3 linked regions of the Anolis sagrei genome follow. The protein of the gene in region 1 purifies or fractionates together with the protein of each later gene. This does not show direct contact. Links are inferred from orthologs where the notes say so. Each region holds a gene or a part of one and is shown in the gene's direction. Other genes may lie near its edges.

Evidence for each region. Proteins that work in one complex are often made in the same cells at the same time.
Region 2: the proteins of SMARCA5 (region 1) and HMGXB4 purify together in Homo sapiens (affinity purification with mass spectrometry; 3 studies listed by BioGRID and IntAct, with this or other methods). This does not show direct contact. The link is inferred for Anolis sagrei from reciprocal best matches to the Homo sapiens genes SMARCA5 and HMGXB4.
Region 3: the proteins of SMARCA5 (region 1) and CECR2 purify together in Homo sapiens (affinity purification with mass spectrometry; 3 studies listed by BioGRID and IntAct, with this or other methods). This does not show direct contact. The link is inferred for Anolis sagrei from reciprocal best matches to the Homo sapiens genes SMARCA5 and CECR2.

Annotation. Positions count from the first base shown.
Region 1 is NC_090025.1:46,574,750-46,582,443, forward strand, and holds the start of SMARCA5 (SWI/SNF-related matrix-associated actin-dependent regulator of chromatin subfamily A member 5), read left to right. Parts: upstream 1-4,660; 5' UTR 4,661-5,126; coding exon 5,127-5,258; intron 5,259-7,694. UniProt on the Homo sapiens protein: ATPase that possesses intrinsic ATP-dependent nucleosome-remodeling activity.
Region 2 is NC_090025.1:167,423,409-167,430,698, reverse strand, and holds the start of HMGXB4 (HMG domain-containing protein 4), read left to right. Parts: upstream 1-4,253; 5' UTR 4,254-4,341; intron 4,342-7,290. UniProt on the Homo sapiens protein: Negatively regulates Wnt/beta-catenin signaling during development.
Region 3 is NC_090025.1:179,982,180-179,989,284, forward strand, and holds the start of CECR2 (chromatin remodeling regulator CECR2), read left to right. Parts: upstream 1-4,068; 5' UTR 4,069-4,270; coding exon 4,271-4,474; intron 4,475-7,105. UniProt on the Homo sapiens protein: Regulatory subunit of the ATP-dependent CERF-1 and CERF-5 ISWI chromatin remodeling complexes, which form ordered nucleosome arrays on chromatin and facilitate access to DNA during DNA-templated processes such as DNA replication, transcription, and repair.

The DNA of each region.
Region 1 (7,694 bases):
CTGGTCAGCAATATAATTGCCCTGAAACCATTCTCTTGCAGATCAATGATGCTTTCAGAATGATGAAGTAACTGAATAAACCGAGTTGAGATCATGCAGTAAAGAAACCTGCAATCAGGCTTGATATCCTGCAGTAAAGATACCTGCTCTGGCTGTTACTGCATGGCTATCAACATGCCCCCTATAGTGATGGGGATGCTGGTTTCAATGTGATAACCAGTAATGGCTCAGCCATCATGGAGAAACGCAATACACCTTGCATACAAGATATAATATGCTTTGACCCATTTACTGGAGCCCCCAGTAGTGCAGTGGATTAAACGCCTGTGCAGGCAGGACTGAAAACCGACAGATGGCAGGTTCGAATCCGGGGAGAGCATGGATGAGCTCCCTCTGTCAGCTCCAGCTCCCCATGCGGGAACATGAAAGAAGCCTACCACAATGATGGTAACAAATCAAAACATCTGGGTGTCCCCTGGGCAATGTCCTTGCAGACGGCCAATTCTCTCACACCAGAAGTGGCTTGCAGTTTCTCAAGTTGCTCCTGACACAACCAAAAAATCCATTTACTCAGGTCACTATCGTTCAGATAAGGGGGTTGAGATCAGCAGCTATTGCAGTTAGAAACCTCACATTTTGGGAAACTTAGTTTAACACCTGACTGCCACTACAGCTAAAATTTGAACAAAATTGGAGACATGATGGTGGGAAAGTTTAGACTACTTGGTACGGAATGACCCAAAAACCTTTGAAGATTATGTTGCCTATATTATATCCACTTTAGAATACACATTTCAAACTTCAGTAACTGCCTCTTGGCATTGGACTGTTCTTTTATCATGGAGAGATTCCAGGAGATTTTGAGATCAGACACACTCTGCTCAACCCATTCCAATACAAGAACACAGATAACTGGTTACAAAGAAGAAGGTATTTGCAATGAATTCAACTTGTGCAGCAACTAAGTTATTCTACAAGTATAATGTAATGAGGATAACTTCACTTCTTTTGCATTATTAGTCTTTTTACTCACTGCTCTAACTAAAGGAGGCGTGTTAGGTATGTTTTGCTCCACAGGTCAGGAAAATTATAGCACTCCATTTTAAAACTATGTATGAAGTTTAAAAATGCTAAAGGATGTACAAACAATGAGTTACTTTTCACAAACTGTTCTAAATTCTGGGGGTTTTGAACTATTTCAAAGTCGGCCTAGTCTGTTTAGCTTTCTAATCTCTTCTTGCAGGTCAACAAAAAGTAATTCATTATTATTATTATTATTATTATTATAACAATAATAATAAACAATCTTTATATCCCACCCAATCTTCCCAGAGGGACTCAAGGTGGATTCCAATATGCAGTGACAAACATTCAATGCCTCCATAAAACAAGTACCAACATCATAACCCCCGAAAAACCTCACATATAAAAACAATTAGAACCTAATATCAATAGATTATAGCAATCGTAAACAAAAACTATATAAAATCTGAACATAAAACAATTCACATGGATCTACAGATGCCAACTATCATTCATAACATTGTGTGAGTTGTTTTTGTGGCCAGTGATGATAACTGGGCTAACATGGATTAGCAGAGCCTGGATACAAAATAATTCTCAACCAGAGGTCTGGTAGTGCTCTCTTATTATTAGGTTTATTTATACCATGCTTTATCTGTCCCAAAGGAGACTCAAAGCAGCTTACTTTGTTGGCGATAGCAACCTTCTCAAGCCTACTCTATGTAAAGTTATGTTTGTTTATAATGTGTCATTTTATTTCTTAAAGTGTATGCCTTCTTTGGTTTTCAGTTTCCTTAGCTCTATATACTTGAGGCAGTGGGAGGGGCTGCAGATCAGTGACAGTAGAGAATGCATATTAAAACATGATGACAGTTGAGGAATGAGTGTGGAGGCTTGAGTCAATTAGAATACAGAAGCCAGTGTAGGCAGTTAGAAGACAGTTGAGGCTTATGTCAGTTAGAATAGAAAAGCTAGTGTATTTATTTATTTATGACATTTACATGCTGCCCTTCTCATCCCAAAGGGGACTCAGAGCAGCTTACAAGTTATATGTACATACAATATATTATATTATTAGCATAGCACAATATTAGTATTATACATTACACTATACTGAACTATACCACTATACTGTAATATTATTAGTAATATAACATGTAACATGAAATATAAAATTATATTAGTACTATTATATTGTATTACATTATAATATTATCAATATTATATGTGCATACAATATATTATAATATTAGCTCTGCCAGGCCCGTAGCCAGGATTTGGGTTGGGGGGGGGTGAGTTTGATTCGGGGGGGGGGGCTGAGTCTGAGTGAAAGAGGGTCTACCCTAGCAAACCTTTTGTATCATTACCCCAATACCCCCATGCATACGGGATATATTGAGCATGTTGATCAGATCATGATATGAATAAACATAACAGTTTAAATAATGTACCAGTAAGGCCTTCTTGTGGACCACGATGAGAATTTCGCCGGGGGGGGGGGGAGAAGCCCCTCAAGTCCCCCCCCCCCCCCGGCTACATGCCTGAGCACATCACAATATTAGTATTATATAGTCAGAAGGCAGTTAGACCATGAGACAGGAGCCCCCGGGGGTGCCATGGGTTAAACCCTTGTGCCAGCAGGACTGAAGACTGACAAGTCGGTGGTTCGAATACGGGGAGAGCATGGAGGAGCTCCCTCTGTCAGCTCCAGCTCCCCATGCAGGGACATGAGAGAAGCCTCCCACAAGGATGGTAAAACATCAAAACATCCGGGCGTCCCCTGGGCAACGTCCTTGCAGACGGTCAATCCTCTCACACCAGAAGCGATTTATAGTTTCTCAAGTCACTCCTGACACAAAAAAAGCCTTGAAACAATTTGAGTACAGAAGTCTGTTTTTCAAACTGTTAGGAAGGCTGGGTTGTTGTAGGTTTTTTTCGGGCTATATGGCCATGTTCTAGAAGCATTCTCTCCTGACGTTTCGCCTGCATCTATGGCAAGCATTCTCAGAGGTAGTGAGGTCTGTTGGAACTAGGAAAATCTATATAAATAAAAATGTAATGTTTGTTTGTGATATTAACAGAACTCAAAAACCACAGGACGAATTGACACCAAATTTGGACACAAGACACCTAACAACCCAATGTATGTCCTTCACTAAAAAAAAAGAATAGATTTTGTCATTTGGGAGTTGTGTTGTTGTTGTTCATTCGTTCAGTCGTCTCCGACTCTTCGTGACCTCATGGACCAGCCCACGCCAGAGCTCCCTGTCGGCCGTTACCACCCCCAGCTCCCTCAAGGTCAGTCCAGTCACTTCAAGGATGCCATCCATCCATCTTGCCCTTGGTCGGCCCCTCTTCCTTTTGCCTTCCACTTTCCCCAGCATCATTGTCTTCTCTAGGCTTTCCTGTCTCCTCATGATGTGGCCAAAGTACTTCAACTTTGTCTCTAGTATCTTTCCCTCCAGTGAGCAGTCAGGCTTTATTTCCTGGAGGATGGACTGGTTGGATTTTCTCGCAGTCCAAGGCACTCTCAGCACTTTCCTCCAACACCACAGCTCAAAAGCATCGATCTTCCTTCGCTCAGCCTTCCCTAAGGTCCAGCTCTCACATCCGTAGGTGACTACAGGGAATACCATGGCTTTGACTAGGCGGATCTTTGTTGCCAGTCTGATGTCTCTACTCTTCACTATTTTATCGAGATTGGACATTGCTCTCCTCCCAAGAAGTAAGCGTCTTCTGATTTCCTGGCCACAGTCTGCATCTGCAGTAATCTTTGCACCTAGAAATACAAAGTCTGTCACAGCCTCCACGGTTTCTCCCTCTATTTTCCAGTTGTCAATCATTCTTGTTGCCATAATCTTGGTTTTTTTGACGTTTAGCTGCAACCCGGCTTTTGCGCTTTCTTCTTTCACCTTGATTAGGAGTTGTAGTTGCTGGGAAATATAGTTCACTTACAATCAAAGAGCATTCTGAACCCCACCGACAATAGAATTGGACCAAACTTGGCACACAGTTCTCCCATGACCAACAGAAAATACTGGAAGGGTTTGGTGGGCAGTGTCCTTAGGTTTTGGAGTTGTAGTTCACCTAAATCCAGAGATCACTGTGGACTCAAACAATGATGGATCTGAACCAAACTCTACACAAATACTCAATATGCCCAAATGTGAACACTGGTGGATTTTGGGGAAAATAGAATCTTGACATTTGGGAGTTGTAGTTGCTGGGATGTATAGTTCACCTATAATCACAGACCATTCTGAACCCCACCAACGATAGAATTAGGCCAAACCACCCACACAGAACCCCCATGTGGGCCACAGCAACGCGTGCCTGGGAACGGCTAGTGGGTTTATATATCTGTGGAATGACCAGGGTGGGACAAAGAACTCTTGTCTGTTGGAGCTAGGTGTAAATGTTTCAACTGTTGGGAAGGCTGTTAGGAATTGTGGGAGTTGTAGTCCTCAACACCTGCAGGGCCGAAGTTGGGTGTTCTTTTCCTCACCTGCTTTCTTCTCCTTTCAGAACGCGCGAGAAGACAGGCCCCGCCCCTTTCGCCCACTCAGTGACGTCACTCCCTTTATCCTGACTCCACCCACCAGCGCTCGTTCGCGCGCGCGCGGACTCTCTCTCTCTCTTTAGCCCCGCCCCCCGTTCTCTCCCAAATACGCGCGCGGAGGGACCAGTCAAACCGGCAGGCATCCCCTCTTGGCTTCTCTCTCGTCATCCAATCGGATTGAAGCAAGCCAGCAGGCATCTCTCTCTTTCTCTCTTTCTCTCTCCCCCCTCCCTTTTTTTGGCTTCTCCCGTTCTACCCAATCGGATCGAAGCAAGCAGGAAAGCAAGCGTCGGGCGAAGGCAAAGAGGAGCAGCACGCGCTCACTCTCTCTCTCTCTTTGGAAGCGTAGTCTCGCGAGACTCGGGAGCCGGCTAAGGGGGTTCCTGGTTGGTGGGACTGAGCGCTGAGAGAAGCCGGCGAGAGGAGGAGAAGAAGCAGAAGAAGAACAAGAAAGAAGGAGCCTGACGGCCGGGACCGCGCGGGAGGAGGCGAGGGGGGCTCCTCCTTCGGAAGGGAACAAGGCCGCGCCAACCGCCGCCGGGACATGGCTGAGAACGAGGCGGGGAGCGAGATCCCTCCCGCCGCCGCCACTGCCGGGTCCGGCACCGAGAGCGCCGCGGAGGCAGTTGTGGAGGGGCCGCCAGGAGGAGGAGGAGGAGGCGCCGAAGAAGGAGCGGTAAGAGAGGGAGGGGGGGGGAGCCCGAGAGAGAGAGCGAGTGAGGAGGAGGGCGCTTCTGCCTCCCTCTTCCGCCCTTCTCCCTTCTTCGCCGTTCCCCGCGTGGGACGAGGAGACAATGGCAGGAGGGAGGCGGAGGAAGAGCCCCAGCCCAGCCTTCCGGGGCTCTCCCGAAATCCTCCTCTTCTCTCTCTTGCCCTTCTTCAGCTTCTTCTTATTCCTCCTCTTCTTCCTTCTCCTTCCTCTTCTTTCTCCTTCTCTTCATCTTTCTCTTCTTTTCCTTCCTTTTCAGTTCCTTCTTCTTCTTCCCTTCCTCCTCTTTTCCTTTCTTTTTAACTTCTTCCTCCTCCTCCTCTGCTTTTTCTGTTTTCTCCTCTTCACCTTTCTCTTCTTTTCCTTCCTTTTCAGTTCCGGCTCCTTCTTCTTCCCTTCCTCCTCTTTTCCTTTCTTTTCACTTCTTCGTTCCTCCTCCTCTTCTCCCTTTTCTGTTTTCTCCTCTTCACCTTTCTCTTCTTTTCCTTCCTATTCAGTTTCTGATCCTTTGTCTTCTTCCCTTCCTCTTTTCCTTTATTTCCACTTCTTCCTTCCTTCTCTTCTTCTTTTTCTGTTTTCTCTTCTCCTCTTTACCTCTTCACCTGTCTCTTCTTTTCCTTCCTTTTCACTTCCTTCCCTTTCCTCCTCACTTTCTCCTCATTTCCTTCCTTTTCTCTTCTTTACTTCTTCCTCCTCTTCACCTTCATCTTCCTCTTTTCCACCCCTTTTCACTCCTTCCCTTTCCACTTCACTTCCTCTTTTCCTTCCTTTTCACCTCTTATTTCCTCTTCTCCTTCCTCTTTAGTTTTCTCTTCTTTCTCCTCTTCATCTTTTCTTTTCCTTCCTTTTCACTTCTTCCTCTACCTCCTCTTCTCCTTCCCTTTCCTCTTCACTTCATCCTCATCTCCCTCTTCCTCCCCATCACCCTCATTTCTCTCTCTCAGTCCTTCTCTTCCTTTCCTTCTTGTTCTTCCTTTTCCTCCTCACCATTCTCTTCCTTCTTCTTCCTCCTCTTCTTTCTCCTTCATCTCCTCCTCTTCACCTTCGTCTTCCTGCCCTTGTTCTTCTTTTTCACTTCCTCATCCTCTTCTCTCTTTTCTTCTGTTTTCTCTTATTCTCCTCTTAGCCTTCATCTTTCCCTTCTTTCCCTTCCTTTTCACTTCTTTCTCCTCTTAACCTCCATCTTTCTTTCTCCTTTTCTTCCTCTCCTTGTTCTTCCTTGTGACTTTTTCCTCCTCACCACCCTCTTCTTTTCCTTCTCCTTCATCCTCTTTCTCTTCCCTCTCTTCCTACTTCCTTGCCATCTTTTCTTATTTCTACTCCTATTTTCTTCTCTCCTTGTTTTCTCCATCTTCTCTTTTTCTTCCTCCTCACTGTTTTCTTCTTCTCCTTTCTCCTCTTTCACATCTCTTCTTTTTCTTCTTGTACTTCCTTGCTTCTTCTTTTTGTCTTCTTTTTTACACATTTTTTTTCTTTTTCCTTTTTCTCTCTATCTTCTCCTTCCTTCTCTTCTTTTTCTTCTTGTACTTCCTTGCCTCTTCTTTTCATCTTCTTTTTACACATTTTCTCTTCTTTTTCCTTTTTCTCTCCATCTTCATCTGACCTGGACTCTATGCTTTCTTTCTTTAATGGGAGAGAGTCCAGACTGCCTACAGTATACAATTAATGTGGTTTGGCCCAATTTGAGGTGCCCTGTCTCAATGTTGTGGGATCCTAGGAGTTGTAGTTTTATGGGCACCAACACTCTTTGATAGAGAAGGCTAAAGACCTTGGTTGCACCTTCAACTGTAGATTTAAGGCAATTTGACATCATTTTAATTCAGTGCCAGGTCTTCAACCTTCTCTGCCAAAGAGTGATGGTGCCTCATAAAACAAACAAGTCCTATCATTCTATTGCATTGAGGCATGGTAGCTAAAGTGGCTAAGAATGTTAGTCTGGCAGCAGCCACTGAAAGGGCTCTTTCTGATGTTCTCTGTAAAATTACAACTCCCATGATTCCACAACATTGAGCTACAGCAATTAAAGTGGTGTCAAACAGCATGAATTCTGCAGTTAAGATGCACCTTTAGAGTCCAATACTCAAAAGCTGGCTCTTCCTTGCTGGGTTGCTTGGCTCCAAAACTGCGTGATCCCAGACAGGTTGATTCACGCTCCATTTATACTGACCGATTAATGCATTTTGAAGCTAGCTTCAAACTGTGACGGCCAATGGCCAGGCAACAAACACACACAGAAGCATGCGAAAGAAAGCCCATGATGTGTATCAGTGCTCTGTGCTTTGCATATCATCTGGGCCTCAAACTGGTTCCAGGATTTCCTATGTAATTGCCTGCACAGCAAAACCACTTTCTTCAATACTGGTTTGAAACTGCATTAACTGGTCAGTGTAGATGGGGCCTCAG
Region 2 (7,290 bases), about 120 Mb from region 1:
GTAATATGTATTATGATGTTTTATTGATTGTATGTGATATTATGGTTGGAAACCGGTCTAAGTCCCTCAAGAGAGGTGAGAAGGTCGGTATACAAAACTTTTAAATAAATAAATAATAGTAGGTGCTCTTCCTGACAGTTGTCACTCAGGCCCCTTCTACATTGCCAGATAATCCAGATTATCAAAGTGGATAATCCACATTATCTGATTTGATCTGGATTATATGAAACTACACTGCCAGATGATCCATTTCAAAGCAGATAACCTGGATTGTATATATTAGTGTAGAAGGGGCCTCAGGCCCTGTCTACACTGCCATATAATCCAGTGTGAACTGCATTATAATGGTCAGTGTACTCAATGTATTAGAATCTGTATTTTAATTGTATTGTGTTTTTAATCTGTGTTCCAACTATGTTGCACCCTGCCTCAAACTGTGAGGAAAGGCAAGTAACATGCTATTATTGTTATTGTATTACTAGTTTGGGTATGCAGTGATGCCCAGTGTTATTTGAAAAAGACATGGCTTGTTTTTGAATGTTAGATAGTGTTCGTTTGGTAATTTGTAACTCTATTTCTTTTTAGGAAGAAGTCAGTGTTTTCTTTTGTTTTTTAGGAATTCTCTCATTAAAAATGCATAATAATGTGAGTGAACTATAATTCCCAAAAATTGTGGGTCAATCACCCCAAACCCTGCCAGTATGCAAAGTTTGCCACATTGGGTCTGCGTGCCAAGTCTGGTCAAGATTCGTTGTCAGCAGGGTTCAGTGCTCTCCAACTTTAAATTATAACTCCCGGATTCCAGATCAATCACTTGCAAACCCCACACCACTATTCAAAGTGGGCCATACTGGATCTGTGTGTCAAGTTTGGTCCAGATCCATAGTCAGCTGGGTTCAGGGGGCTCTCTGGATACAAGGTACAACTCACTCCCAGGTGGGTCAGTCCTCCTCCCAACCCCTCCATTATGTTCTGATGGTCATCAGGGTTCTGTGTGCCAAGTTTGGCCCAGATCCATCAGAGTACTCTCTGGATGCAGTGTGAACTACAATTCCCACTCCAGTGGGTCAGTCCCTTAATCCCTCCAATATATTCAGTTAGCCATCGGGGTTCTATGTGCCAAGTATGGTCCGAATCTGCCATTGGTGGGCTTCAGAATGCTCTCTGGATGCAGAGTGAACTACAACTCCCGCTCTGGCAGGTCAGTCCCCCCACCCCCACCCCACACCTCCAGTATGTTCTGTTAGTCATGGGGGTTCTGTGTGCCAAGTTTGGTCTAGATCTGCCATTGGTGGGCTTCAGAGTGCTCTCTGGATAGAGGGTAAACTACAACTCCTATCCTGGTTGGGCGGTCCCCATAAACCCCTCCAGTACATTTGAACTGTGGTGTTGGAGGAAATTTTTGAGAGTGCCTTGGACCACGAGAAGATCCAACCAGTCCATCCTCCAGGAAATAAAGCCCAACTGCTCATTGAAGGGAAGGATAGTAGAGGCAAAGATGAAGTACTTTGGCCACATCATGAGAAGACAGGAAAGCTTAGAAAAGAAAATGATGCTGGGGAAAATGGAAGGAAAAAGGAAGAAGGGCCAACCAAGGAGAAGATGGATGGCATCCTTGAAGTGATTGGCTTTACTCTGAAGGAGCTGGGGGTGGTGACGGCCAACAGGGAGCTCTGGCGTGGAATGGTCCATGAGGTCATGAAGAGTCGGAAGCAACTGGACGAATAAACAATAACAACACGTTCCATTAATCATCAGGGTTCTGTGTGCCAAGTCTACTCCAGATCCATCATTGGTGGGGGTCGTAGGTTCGAATCCAGGGAGAGTGCGGATGAGCTCCCTCTGTCAGCTCCAGCTCCCCACGCGGGACATGAGAGAAGCCTCCCACAAGGATGGTAAAACTGCAAAACATCCCCTGGGCAACGTCCTTGCAAACAGTCAATTCTCTCACACCAGAAGCGACTTGCAGTTTCTCAAATCGCTGACACAAAAAAATGGTGGGGGTCACAGTGGTCTTTGGAAGTGGGAGCCAATAGGAAAGCTGCTGCAAACTTACATCTACTATTATTATATAGATACTAGCGGTCCCCTGCCACACGATGCTGTGGCCCAGTCTGGTGATCTGGAAAATAAAGTAATGAGAAAGTGTTGGTTTCTAATATATGTAATGTCTTTATGCTTGTGGGTAAACAGTATTTCTTGCTATTTCTTTGCCAGTGTTGATGTGGAGATTGTCTGGTTTGCCTACTCTGGGACATTCAACATATAATTGTCCTTCTTTAGGGGTCCCTTTCAAATCTATGTTACTGCATCTGTCATATACATGTGTGTGTGTGTGTGTGTGTGTGTGAATGGCTGGATGGCCTTTTGTCAAGAGAACTTTCATTATGTTTGTTGCCCTGATTAAGGGAGTTGGACTGGATGGCCTTAAGGCAGCATTTCTCAACCTGGGAAGTCAAGACCCCGGGGGGAGGAGGTCACCAGGGGGTATCAGAACAGTCACCGAAGACCACTAAAAACACACACAGTATTTTCTGTTGGTCATGGGGGTTCTGTGAGGGATGTTTGGCCCAATTCCATCATTGGTGTGGTTCAGAATGCTCTTTGATTGTAGGTGAACTATACATCCTAGTAACTACAACTCCCAAATGTCAAGGGCTATTTCCCCCAAACTCCATCTGTGTTCACATTTGGGCATATTGATTATTCCTGTCAAGTTTAGTCCAGATCCATCATTGAGTCCACAGTGTTCTCTGGATGGAGGTGAATTACAATTCCAAAATTCAAGGTCAATGCCCACCAAACCCTTTCAGTAATTTCTGATGGTCATGGGAGTCCTGTGTGCCAACTTTGATTCAATTCTATCGTTGGTGGAGTTCAGAATGCTCTTTGATTGTAGGTGAACTATAAATCCCAGCAACTACAACTCCCAAATGACAAAATTATATTTTTTTGTGATGGTGACTCCTTGTGTAGTGAGACATTTTGTTGCCAAATTTTGTGTGATTTCGTTCATTGGTTCTTTTGTTTTTAATGTACTCATTATGCACAGAGCATTTTTATATATATAGCAGTACGTGTGAAAAAGATCTTGGAGTCCTTATGGACAACAAGTTAAACATGAGTCAACAATAAGATGTGGTGGCAAAAAAAGCCAATGGGATTTTGGCCTGCATCAATAGGAGCATAGTGTCTAAATCTAGGGAAGTCATGCTACCCCTCTATTCCGCCTTGGTTAGACCACACCTGGAATATTGTGTCCAATTCTGGGCACCACAATTGAAGAGAGAGATTGACAAGATGGAATGTGTCCAGAGGAGAGCTACTAAAATGATAAAGGGTCTGGAGAACAAGCCCTATGAGGAACGGCTTAAGGAGCTGGGCATGTTTAGCCTGAAGAAGAGAAGGCTGAGAGGAGACATGATAGCCATGTATAAATATGTGAGAGGAAGCCACAGGGAGGAGGGAGCAAGCTTGTTTTCTGCTTCCCTGGAGACTAGGATGCGAAACAATGGCTTCAAACTACAAGAGATTCCATCTGAACATTAGGAAGAACTTCCTGACTGTGAGAGCCGTTCAGCAGTGGAACTCTCTGCCCCGGCGTGTGGTGGGGTTTCCTTCTTTGGAAGCTTTTAAACAGAGGCTGGATGGCCCTCTGTCAGGGGTGATCTGAATGCAATATTCCTGCTTCTTGGCAGGGGGTTGGACTGGATGGCCCATGAGGTCTCTTCCAACTCTTTGATTCTATGAAGATAAAGATTGAGATTAATGCATTTATTGTTATTATTATGTGCCTCTTCTCCGCCCATTTTACTGAGTGCTTCCCAATATTCCTGGCAGAATGGGATCTAGAAACACAACAGAGCGACCCAAAGCTGCCACCATCCTTCTCCACCCTCTTCCTGTTCGACTGAAAGAGTGAAAGGGAAATGGCAAGCTTTAGGCTTCATTTGAAATCTCGCGATAGGTTTGGAACCCTCTTTTCCGCCCTCTCGGCTCTCGCGAGATGTACCCTCCTCGTCTCGCGAGAGCAGCGGCCTGCTTCAGAGGAGTTTGGTGCGCTTTCCCCAGCGGATCTTGAGAGACCCCGTCGCGATGTTTTTGCGTCATCGTTTTCCACAGTTTGAAGTCTGAAGTCTCCCCGCTTTCTGGAAACACGCAAGTCTTCTTACTTGTGTTTAAAAAGCAGCTTTCTTTCCCTCCCGGGATACGAATCAAATAATGTTCTGCAGAGCAAACGTCTTGAGTAGCTGCTTGGCTTCCAGATATTGACAGGATGGAAGGTCATTCTTTGTTCTCAAGGGAAATGTTTCCTTTCTCAGCAGAGTTCGCTTTTAAACGGTAAGATTTCAGACTGTTAAGGTTCGTTGGTATTTTTATTATTATTTTAATGAATTAAATGCTATTTCACTTTTTTTTACTGTTTTAAATCGTTTTAAAAGAATGTTTTTGTCTCTTTTGCATTGGCTAGGGAGACCTAGAATTCTGACAGGTGATAAATTTTATCTATTTGTTTATTTATTTATTTATCAATTTTATATACCACCACTCCCCGAAGGCTCAGAGCGGTTTACAATATACATATGCAATACATTACATTTAAAATCAAAGAAAAATTTCAGTCAACAAGATTCAAATGCCAGCCTAAATAAATATGTTTTACAAGCTCTACAAAAAGATAGTAAGTCTCGTAGAGCTTGTGTTTCTGCTGGCAAGGCATTCCACAGGTAAGGAGCCACCACCGTGAATGCTCTACACCTAGTGGACATCAGGTGAAAGGTCCAAAAATTGGGAACTTCGAGGAAGTTCTGATCGTCTGAACGGAGTGATCTCGGGTGTTGGTAGGGGGTGAGGCGGTCCATCAGATATTCCGTCCCCAGGCCATATAAGGCCTTAAAAGTAAGAATCAGCACTTTGAAGGTAATCCGGTGCTCAATCGGCAACCAGTGCAGTTGCTGCAAGATTGTAGTGCAGAAGGTGTATTTTCGAAGGCTTTCATGGCTGGAATCACTGCATAGTTGTAGGTTTTTCAGGCTGTATGGCCATATTCTAGAGGCATTCTCTCCTGACGTTTCGCCTGCATCTACAGCAAGCACCCTCAGAGGTTGTGAGGTGCCATATAGCCCAAAAAACCTACAACAACCCAATTGTGGAAGGCTTTCATGGCTGGAATCACTGGGTTGTTGTAGGTTTTTCAGGCTGTATGGCCATATTCCAGAGGCATTCTCTCCTGATGTTTCGCCTGCATCTATGGCAAGCATCCTCAGAGGTTGTGAGGTGCCATATAGCCCGAAAAACCTACAACAACCCAATTGTGGAAGGCTTTAATGGCTGGAATCACTGGGTTGTTGTAGGTTTTTCGGGCTGTATGGCCATATTCTAGAGGCATTCTCTCCTGACATTTCACCTGCATCTATGGCAAGCATCTTCAGAGGTTGTGAGGTGCCATATAGCCCAAAAAACCTACAACAACCCAATTGTGGAAGGCTTTCATGGCTGGAAGCACTGGGTTGTTGTAGGTTTTTCAGGCTGTATGGCCATGTTCTAGAAGCATTCTCTCCTGACGTTTCACGTGCATCTATGACAAGCATCTCAAAGGTTGTGAGGTGCCATATAGTCCGAAAAACCTACAACAACCCAATTGTGGAAGGCTTTCATGGCCAGAATCACTGGATTGTTGTAGGTTTTTCTGGGCTGCAAGGCCATGTTCCAGAAGCATTCTCTCCTGACGTTTCGCTTGCATCTATGGCAATCATCTTCAGAGGTTGTGAGGTGCCATATAGCCCAAAAAACCTACAACAACCCAATTGTGGAAGGCTTTCATGGCCGGAATCACTGGGTTGTTGTGAGTTTTCCGGGCTGCAAGGCCATGTTCCAGAAGCATTCTCTCCTGACGTTTCGCCTGCATCTAAAGAACTAAAGACATGGATGTTCCACTGTACATTCAGCCATATAGTTCCCCCAAAAATTCTGGTTCCCAGTTTGATCCATAATTAGATTTTGCTCATTTCACTGTGCTCTTTTAGAGACATAGTGCTTTCCTTACATCCCCCCCCCCCCCCCCGGGTCCTAATCTTGTCATCTGCCATTAACACTTTAACCATCAACCCTGTCCTTTGGCAACTGATTTACACCAGCCACCACTGAAACTCGGATCCATGCACTACTCAAACCTTTGAAGGTTGTTAAATATTCGCTATGTATTGTATTCTGTGGTTGTTTTATATTGTTGAAATGTTTTATGAATTTTTTTGTTATAATTTATTTTAACTATTTGTAATCTTGGGCTTGTCCCCATGTAAGCCACCCCGAGTCTCCGCAGGGAGATGGAGGCAGAGTACAAAAATTAAGTTGTTATTATTATTATTATTATTATTATTATTATTTTAAACACAGCAAGATGAGTCCACAGCAGCCAAAATCACTCTGCTGGCTGTTATATTGTATCACACGTCGGACACTTCCCAAGTGTGTAGGACTGTGTGATGTATCGGTGAATAATGCGTGCAAATCCCAGTAAGGTGGCCTTTTGCAGCTGGCAGATGGTAATTTTGTCGGCACCGATTGTGCTTAAGTGCAGGCCAAAGTCTTTAGGCACTGCACCCAGTGTGCCGATAACTCTTTGACAACTTGGCCTTATGTAAGAACATGACTGCTTTTTAATGTATTTTTATGTATTATGTGATGTGATGTTTTTAAACTACTGTTCATGAATCTTGTTGTAAACCGGCCTGAGTCCCTCTCCGGAGGTGAGAAGACCGGTATATAAAAGTTCTAAATAAATAAATTCTAAACCACTGGGACCACCTTTACTGGCCTGTGCCAGAGTCTTTGCAGTTCAGTCTTTAAATCCTCATATCATGTCATTTCCAGTTGTTTCTCTTCAATCCTGCTGTCGCCTGGGATTGCAACATTGACGATCCATACTTTGTTTTTTAACACGATCGTGAGGTTAGGACTACTGTGCTCCAAAACTCTGTCAGTCTAAATTCGGAAGACCCAGAGTAGTTTGATATCTTCATTTTCTGTAACTTTTTCAGCTTGTGATCCCACCAGTACTTTGTCGCAGGCAGATGGTATTTGTGGCACAAGTTTCAATTATTCATTTGAGCAATCGTGTTATGCCTCTGCTTGTAGTCTGTCTGCGCAATCTTCTTGCAGCAGCTGAGGATGGGATCTATTGTTTCATCTGCTTCCTTGCAGAGTCTACATTTGGGATATGTCATCGACTTTTCAGTTCTGGTTTTGATGGCATTTGTTGTAATGGCTTGTTCTTGGGCTGCCAGAATC
Region 3 (7,105 bases), about 130 Mb from region 1:
TGGAGGACTCAAGTTTGCCCATGTCTGGTCTATATGCATGCTGATTTAAATTTTCTGAAGAAAGAATAAAGCACAAATTATTGCCTTAAAGCTTAAAAAAAAAACAAGACAAGACAAGAATACCTCAAACCCAAGAATTAAAGAGGGAAAAAAGAAAAGTGAAATTCTAAGAATTCATTCTATCAAACTGTCAAATTTGTGTCAGGTTTCAAATCTGATTTAGTGCCGTGTGGATTCAGAACAGATGCATGTGTACTACAACAAATAGTATGAAAAGGAAATTGCTTCCAAAACAGGAACATGAATTAATCCTAAATTGGTAGTTGCAACTCAAAAGGATCAAAGTAACTTTTCCCCACAAGACAAAAAAGTAAGAACACCCATAGATCAACGAGACTGATTGATAAATGGCAAATAGAGGAAGAAAACGTGGAGGCAGTGACAGACTTTGTATTTCTAGGCGCAGAGATTACTAAGATTACTGCAGACGCAGACTGCAGCCAGGAAATCAGAAGACGTTTACTTCTTGATAAAATAGTGAAGAGAAGAGACATCACACTGGCAATGAAGATTCGCATAGTTTTAGCAATGGTATTCCCCATAGCAACCTATGGATGTGAGAGTGGACCATAAGGAAAACTGAGTGAAGGAAGATAGATGCTTTTGAACTGTGATGTCGGAGGAAAGTTCTGAGAGTGCCTTTGACCGCGAGAAGATCAAACCAGTCCATACTCGGGGAAATAATGCCTGGCTGCTCACTGGAGGGAAAGATATTAGAGGCAAAGATGAAGTACTTTGGCCACATAAGGAGAAGACAAGAAAGCTTGAAGAAGATAATGCTGCTGCGGGAAATGGGAGAAAAAAGAAAAAGGGGCCGACCAAGGGCAAGATGGCTGGACGGTATCCTTAAAGTGACTGGCTTGATCTTGAAGAAGCTAGGGGTGATGATGATTGACAGGGAGCTGTGGCGTGGGCTGGTCCATGAGATCACGAAGAGTCAGAAGTGACTGAACAAATAAACAACAACCCATACATTTTATTTCCTGTCTCTACCAACTGCTACAATCCAATATAGCATCGAATATATTTATTCTGGTGGCACAGCAGGTTGAACCACTGAGTTTGCTGACCGAAAGGTTGGTGGTTCAAATCTAGGGAACAGGGTGAGCTCCCACTGTTAGACCCAGCTTCTACCAACCTAGCAGTTCAAAATCATGCAAATGTGATTTAGATCAATAGCTACCGCTTCTGCGGGAAGGTAATGGTGCTCCATGCAGTCATGCTGGCCACATGACCTTTGAGGTGTCTATGGACAATGTCGGCTCTTCGGTCTAGAAATGGAAATAAGAATCACCCCCTAGAGTCGGACCCAACCAGACTTCATGCCAGGGTAAACCTTTACTTATTTATCTTATTTATTTACGATATTTATATCCCACCTTTCTCTACCTGAAGAGGACTTGAGGCAGCTTACAAAGAGGCAAAATTTCAATGCCTTAACCTCAGTATACAATTTTGGTCGTGTCAGGAGCGACCTGAGAAACTGCAAGTCACTTCTGGTGTGAGAGAATTGGCCGTCTGCAAGGGCGTTGCCCAGGAGCCGCCTGGATGATTTTTGATGTTTTATCATCCTTGTGGGAGGCTTCTCTCATGTCCCCGCATGAGGAGCTGGATCTGATAGAGGGAGCTCATCCGCCTCTCCCCGGATTCGAACCTGCGACCTGTCGGTCTTCAGTCCTGCCGGCACAGGGGTTTAACCCACTGTGTTATTTTTATTGTTCATTCGTTCAGTCATTTTCGACTCTTCATGACTTCCTAGACAAGTCCATGCCAGAGCTCCCTGTTGGCCGTCACCACCCCCAGCTCCTTCAAGGTCAGTCCAGTCACTTCAAGGATGCCATCCATCCATCTTGCCCTTGGTCGGCCCCTCTTCCTTTTGCCTTCCACTTTCCCCAGCATCATTGTCTTCTCTAGGCTTTGCTGCCTCCTCATGATGTGGCCAAAGTACTTCAACTTTGTCTCTAGTATCCTTCCCTCCAATGAGCAGTCGGGCTTTATTTCCTGGAGGATGGACTGGTTGGATCCTCTCGCAGTCCAAGGCACTCTCAGAACTTTCCTCCAACACCACAGCTCAAAAGCATCAATCTTCCTTCGCTCAGCCTTAATTTATATTTTATTAAAATATAAATTAAAATATATTTAAATTAAAAATCAATATTAAATACAAACATTATAAACATTATAATCATTATAAACCACGCAATTCGCAATCATAGTCCAGATCATGTTTACATCCATTTGAAGTTTTATAAATATGCCCTTAAAGATCCTAGTAAAGCTCAGAAGTTAATTAGAAACCAAAGCCATAAACACCCACTACTCTAATCTACTGCTCAAAAGAGAAAGCGCTGTAAAAGAACAAATCGGTCTACACACGCCATTGAAGCAGAGTGTTTGAGGACCGGGACATCCGTAGGGATACCAAGGTGCTTGTCTATAAAGCTACTGTCCTCCCAACCCTGCTCTATGCCTGCAAAATGTGGACTGTCTACAGATGTCACATGCAACTCCTGGAACGATTCCATCAGCGCTGCCTCCGGAAAATCCTGCAAATCTCTTGGGAAGACAAGCGGACAAACGCCAGCATGCTGGAAGAAGCAAAGACCACCAGCATTGAAGCGATGCACCTCCGCCATCAACTCCGCTGGGCCGGCCATGTTGTCCGGATGCCTGACCACCGTCTCCCAAAGCAGTTGCTCTACTCTGAACTTAAGAATGGAAAACGGAATGTTGCTGGACAGGAAAAGAGATTGAAAGATGGCCTCAAAGCCAACCTTAAAAACTCTGGCATAGACACTGAGAACTGGGAAGCCCTGGCTCTTGAGCGCTCCAGCTGGAGGTCAGCTGTGACCAGCAGTGCTGCAGAATTCGAGGAGGCACGAGTGGAGGGTGAAAGAGAGAAACGTGCAAGGAGGAAGGACCGCCTTCCACCTGGAAACCAATGCCTCCACTGCGGGAGAAGATGCGGGTCAAGAATAGGGCTCCACAGCCACCTACAAACCCACAAAAATAGTCATCAAGGAAGACCATCTTACTCGTCCAACGAGGGATCGCCTAAGTAAGTAAGTAAGCATGTTTACATTCATTTGAAGTTTTATAAAGATGCCCTTAAAGATCCTAGTAGAGCTCAGAAGTCAATTAGAAACCAAAGCCATAAACACAGACTACTCTAATCTCCTGCTCACAAGAAGAGAAAACGCTGTAAAAGAACAAATCGGTCTACACACGCCATTAAACCGAAACAGTCCCAACAGTTCCTCCCCAATTAACTGAGGCGCCTGAGACGCCGTTGAGCTACCCAAAAGAGCAAGCCCCTCCCCCTCCAGCCCCCTTCTCCTATGAGGAAAGGCCCACTTTTTTCCCCTTCAGCCAACGAGAGCGCGCGCCTCGGTCGCCCCGCCCACTTTGAGCGACCCGATTGGCTACCGGCGAGAAGAAAAGGCGGGGCAAAGCTGTTGTTATGATAAAGAGCGGGCCCCGCCCACGCCTCGTGCGCTGAAAACTCGCTCCTCCTCCTTTTCCACCTTCCTTTGCCTCGCGCTGCCTTTTAACGGCTTTTAAACCAGGCCACGCCCCCTTTGGAAAAAAGAAAGAAAGTTCCTCCCTTTAGGCTCCGCCCACGTTCCCAAAGAGAGTTGGAACTTGAGAAGAAGCTCGGAGGGAAGCCCCGCCCCCTCGAGGGGGGGCCAGACTGAGAAGGACCTCAAGCTCGGAGGGGAAGCCACGCCCCCTTGAGGGAAGCCACGCCCCCTTTGCCCTTGAGGGGAGCCAGACTGAGAAGATCCTCAAGCTCGGAGGGAAAGCCACGCCCCCTTGAGGGAAGCCACGCCCCCTTTGCCCTTGAGGGGAGCCAGACTGAGAAGATCCTCAAGCTCCGAGGGGAAGCCACGCCCCCTTAAGGGAAGCCACGCCCCCTTTGCCCTTGAGGGGAGCCAGACTGAGAAGAACCTCAAGCTCGGAGGGAAGCCACGCCCCCTCGAGCGAGACCACGCCCCCTTTGCCCTCGCGCCTTGTGTGTGTGCGCGTGTGTGTCCTCGCGCTCTCTCTCTCCTCCTGAGTGCCCCTCCCCCTTCCTTCCCCTCAGTCCGGAGCCCATCTGTTTCTGTGGCGGAGGGTCTGTCTGTCGGAGGGCATTGTCGGGCGGGAGATGGGTACGCGAGGCGGCGGAGGAAGAGGCAGCTGAGGGGAAAAGAGAGGGAGAAAAAGGGCGATGTGCCCCGAAGAGGACGGGGGCTGCGGAGGAGCCTCGCCGGCACTGGACTCTGCCTCTTCGGCCGGCAACGGAGGCCCCGAAGGGACAACATTGGCCGCGGGGCTCCTGAGCGAGCTGCGCTCCTGGTGGGAAGTGCCGGCCATCGCTCACTTCTGCTCCCTCTTCAGGACCGCCTTCCGACTCCCCGACTTCGAGATCGAGGTGAGTTGGGCGCAGGGGGCCCATCTACTCCCATGGCTTGTTGACCCTAACATCTAGGTCAGGCCAATTTGGGCCCTCCCTCCCTCTAAGCCTTTTGGACTCCAACTCCCACCATTCCTAACAGCTTCAGGCCCCTTCCTTTTCCCCCTCAGCCGCTTAAGCGGCTGAGGGGGAAAAGGAAAGGGCCTGAGGCTGTTAGGAATGGTGGGAGTTGGAGTCCAAAAGGCTTAAAGGGAGGGAGGGCCCAAATTGGCCCAATACACCGACTTTGAGAGTTCATACAAGAGTTTGGAAGTGACCACCCACTCCAACCCACTTGCATACAGGGAACGGACACAAACTGACCCTCCCCATCCAGAAACCTCCCGTGAAGTTTCCCCAACGCACTGGAAGTTTAGCAATAGTATTGTCGAAGGCTTTCATGGGTTGTTGTAGGTTTTTTCGGGCTGTATGGCCATGGTCTAGAGAGGCATTCTCTCCTGACGTTTCGCCTGCATCTATGGCAAGCATGGATGGAGGATGATGAACACCGATTTTAGTGTGACGACTGATCATTGTATTTATTGAATGTAATCGCTGTTTTAATGTTTTAGTGCATTATTGTAATATGAATTATGATGTTTTATTGACTGTATGTGATATTATGGTTGGAAACCAGTCTGAGTCCCTCAAGAGAGGTGAGAAGGTCGATATTACAAAACTTTTAAATAAATAAATAAAATAAGCATCTTTAGCAATAGTATTTCCAGGCCATTTGAATCCTAGTCTCCAATGCAGCAGAAAAACAAGCTTGCCCGTCTTCCCCCACCACCTCCCCTCTCCTCAATATGGGACCTCCTTTGAGAAATCCTGGAAGCCCGGATGGTGGTGAGGGCACAAAACCACTCGAGCCCAGATGGAGCACGAGCGAAGGAAGGAAGGGCTGGCTTTTTGCGCGCTTTTGCGGGAGTTTGTTGTCGGGTTGGACTGCGTTATTAAATGGCCGGGATTGACTGGTGTTCTTCCCTTGTGAACGCGAGGGAAAGAGCCTCTAATGTGTGTATCCCTTTAAAGATGAGTGTGTGTGTGTATCCCCCTTTCCCTCACCCCATGGGTGTGTATGTATAATAATAATAATAATAATAATAATAATCCCCCTTTCCCTCACCCCTAAGGGTGTGTGTGTATAATAATAATAATAATAATCCCCTTTTCCCTCACCCCTAAGGGTGTGTGTATAATAATAATAATAATAATAATAATAATACCAACAACAACTTTATTTATAATTTGCTCTATCTCCCGAAAGGGACTCAGGGCGGATTCCAAGCATAAAAGGCAAAAATTCAATGCCCGAATACAACAACAATACATCCATGCTGACAAAATGTATACAACCCAACATATAAATACAAATTTTAACTTTTGGCCGGGATCGTCTGGTGTTCTTCCCTTGTGAAGGCGAGGGAAAGAACCTCTAATGTGGTATCCCTTTAAAGATGTGTGTGTGTGTGTATCCCCCTTTCCCTCACCCCTAAGGGTGTGTGTGTATAATAATAATAATAATAGTAATAATAATAATAACTTTATTTATATTCTGCTCTATCTCCCGAAAGGGACTCAGGGCAGATTCCAAACATAAAAGGCAAACATTCAATGCCCAAATACAACCATACATCCATGCCAACAAAATTTATACAACCCAACATATAAATCTGAATTTTAACTTAACAAACTAAAATTTTGTAAACTAAAATTTCGGAGGGAAGAATAGTAGAGGGAGGCCAAGATGAAGTACTTTGGCCACGTCATGAGAAGAAAGGAAAGCTTAGAGAAGGCAGTGATGGTGGGGAAAATGGAAGGAAAAAGGAAGAGGGGCAACCAAGGGCAAGATGGATGGATGGCATCCTTGAAGTGACTGGATTGACCTTGAAGGTGCTGGGAGTGGTGACGGCCGACAGGGAGCTTTGGCCTGGGCTGGTCCATGAGATCACGAAGAGTCGGAAACAACTGAACAAATGAACAACAACAATCTAAAATTAAATTAAAAAAAACACAGGCTGTTATAACAGACATAAGACAAAACACCCAACATCAAATGGAAATGTTGATTTCCCATTTCTTTGGGGCAAATCAATATAATCATTGCTCAAGATATCCATTGAGCTGGTGAGGTATATGTACATATCTCCCGTTCTCCCCATTTTAATTTTGGATTTCGATTTCCCCCGGTGGTGGTGGGATATTGACTGAGGGCCCTTCCATACAACCCTAAGCCCTATATCCCAGGATATCAAGGCAGGAAATCCCACATTATCTGAGTGTCGACTCAGATAACCCAGTTCAAAGAAGATATTGTGGGACATTCTGCCTTGATTTTCTGGGATATAGGGCTGTGTGGAAGGGCCCTTAGTCTCTAGTTCCTTGAGGGATGCAGGTTTTTTTTTGTGGGGGGGAAGCGCCCACCATATGCGTGCGACACAATCGCAGTCGTGTGAATCTGCCATCCCATGTAAATCCCCATTGAATTTGTCGAGGCAGGTCTTGAGCTCGCATTCAGCGCCAGCAACGGCTGAGAAATGCTGGCTCTCTTCTTCCCATCCTTTTAGAGATTGGTGTGAATCGTTTTGGGTCTGGGAGCCTTTACATACA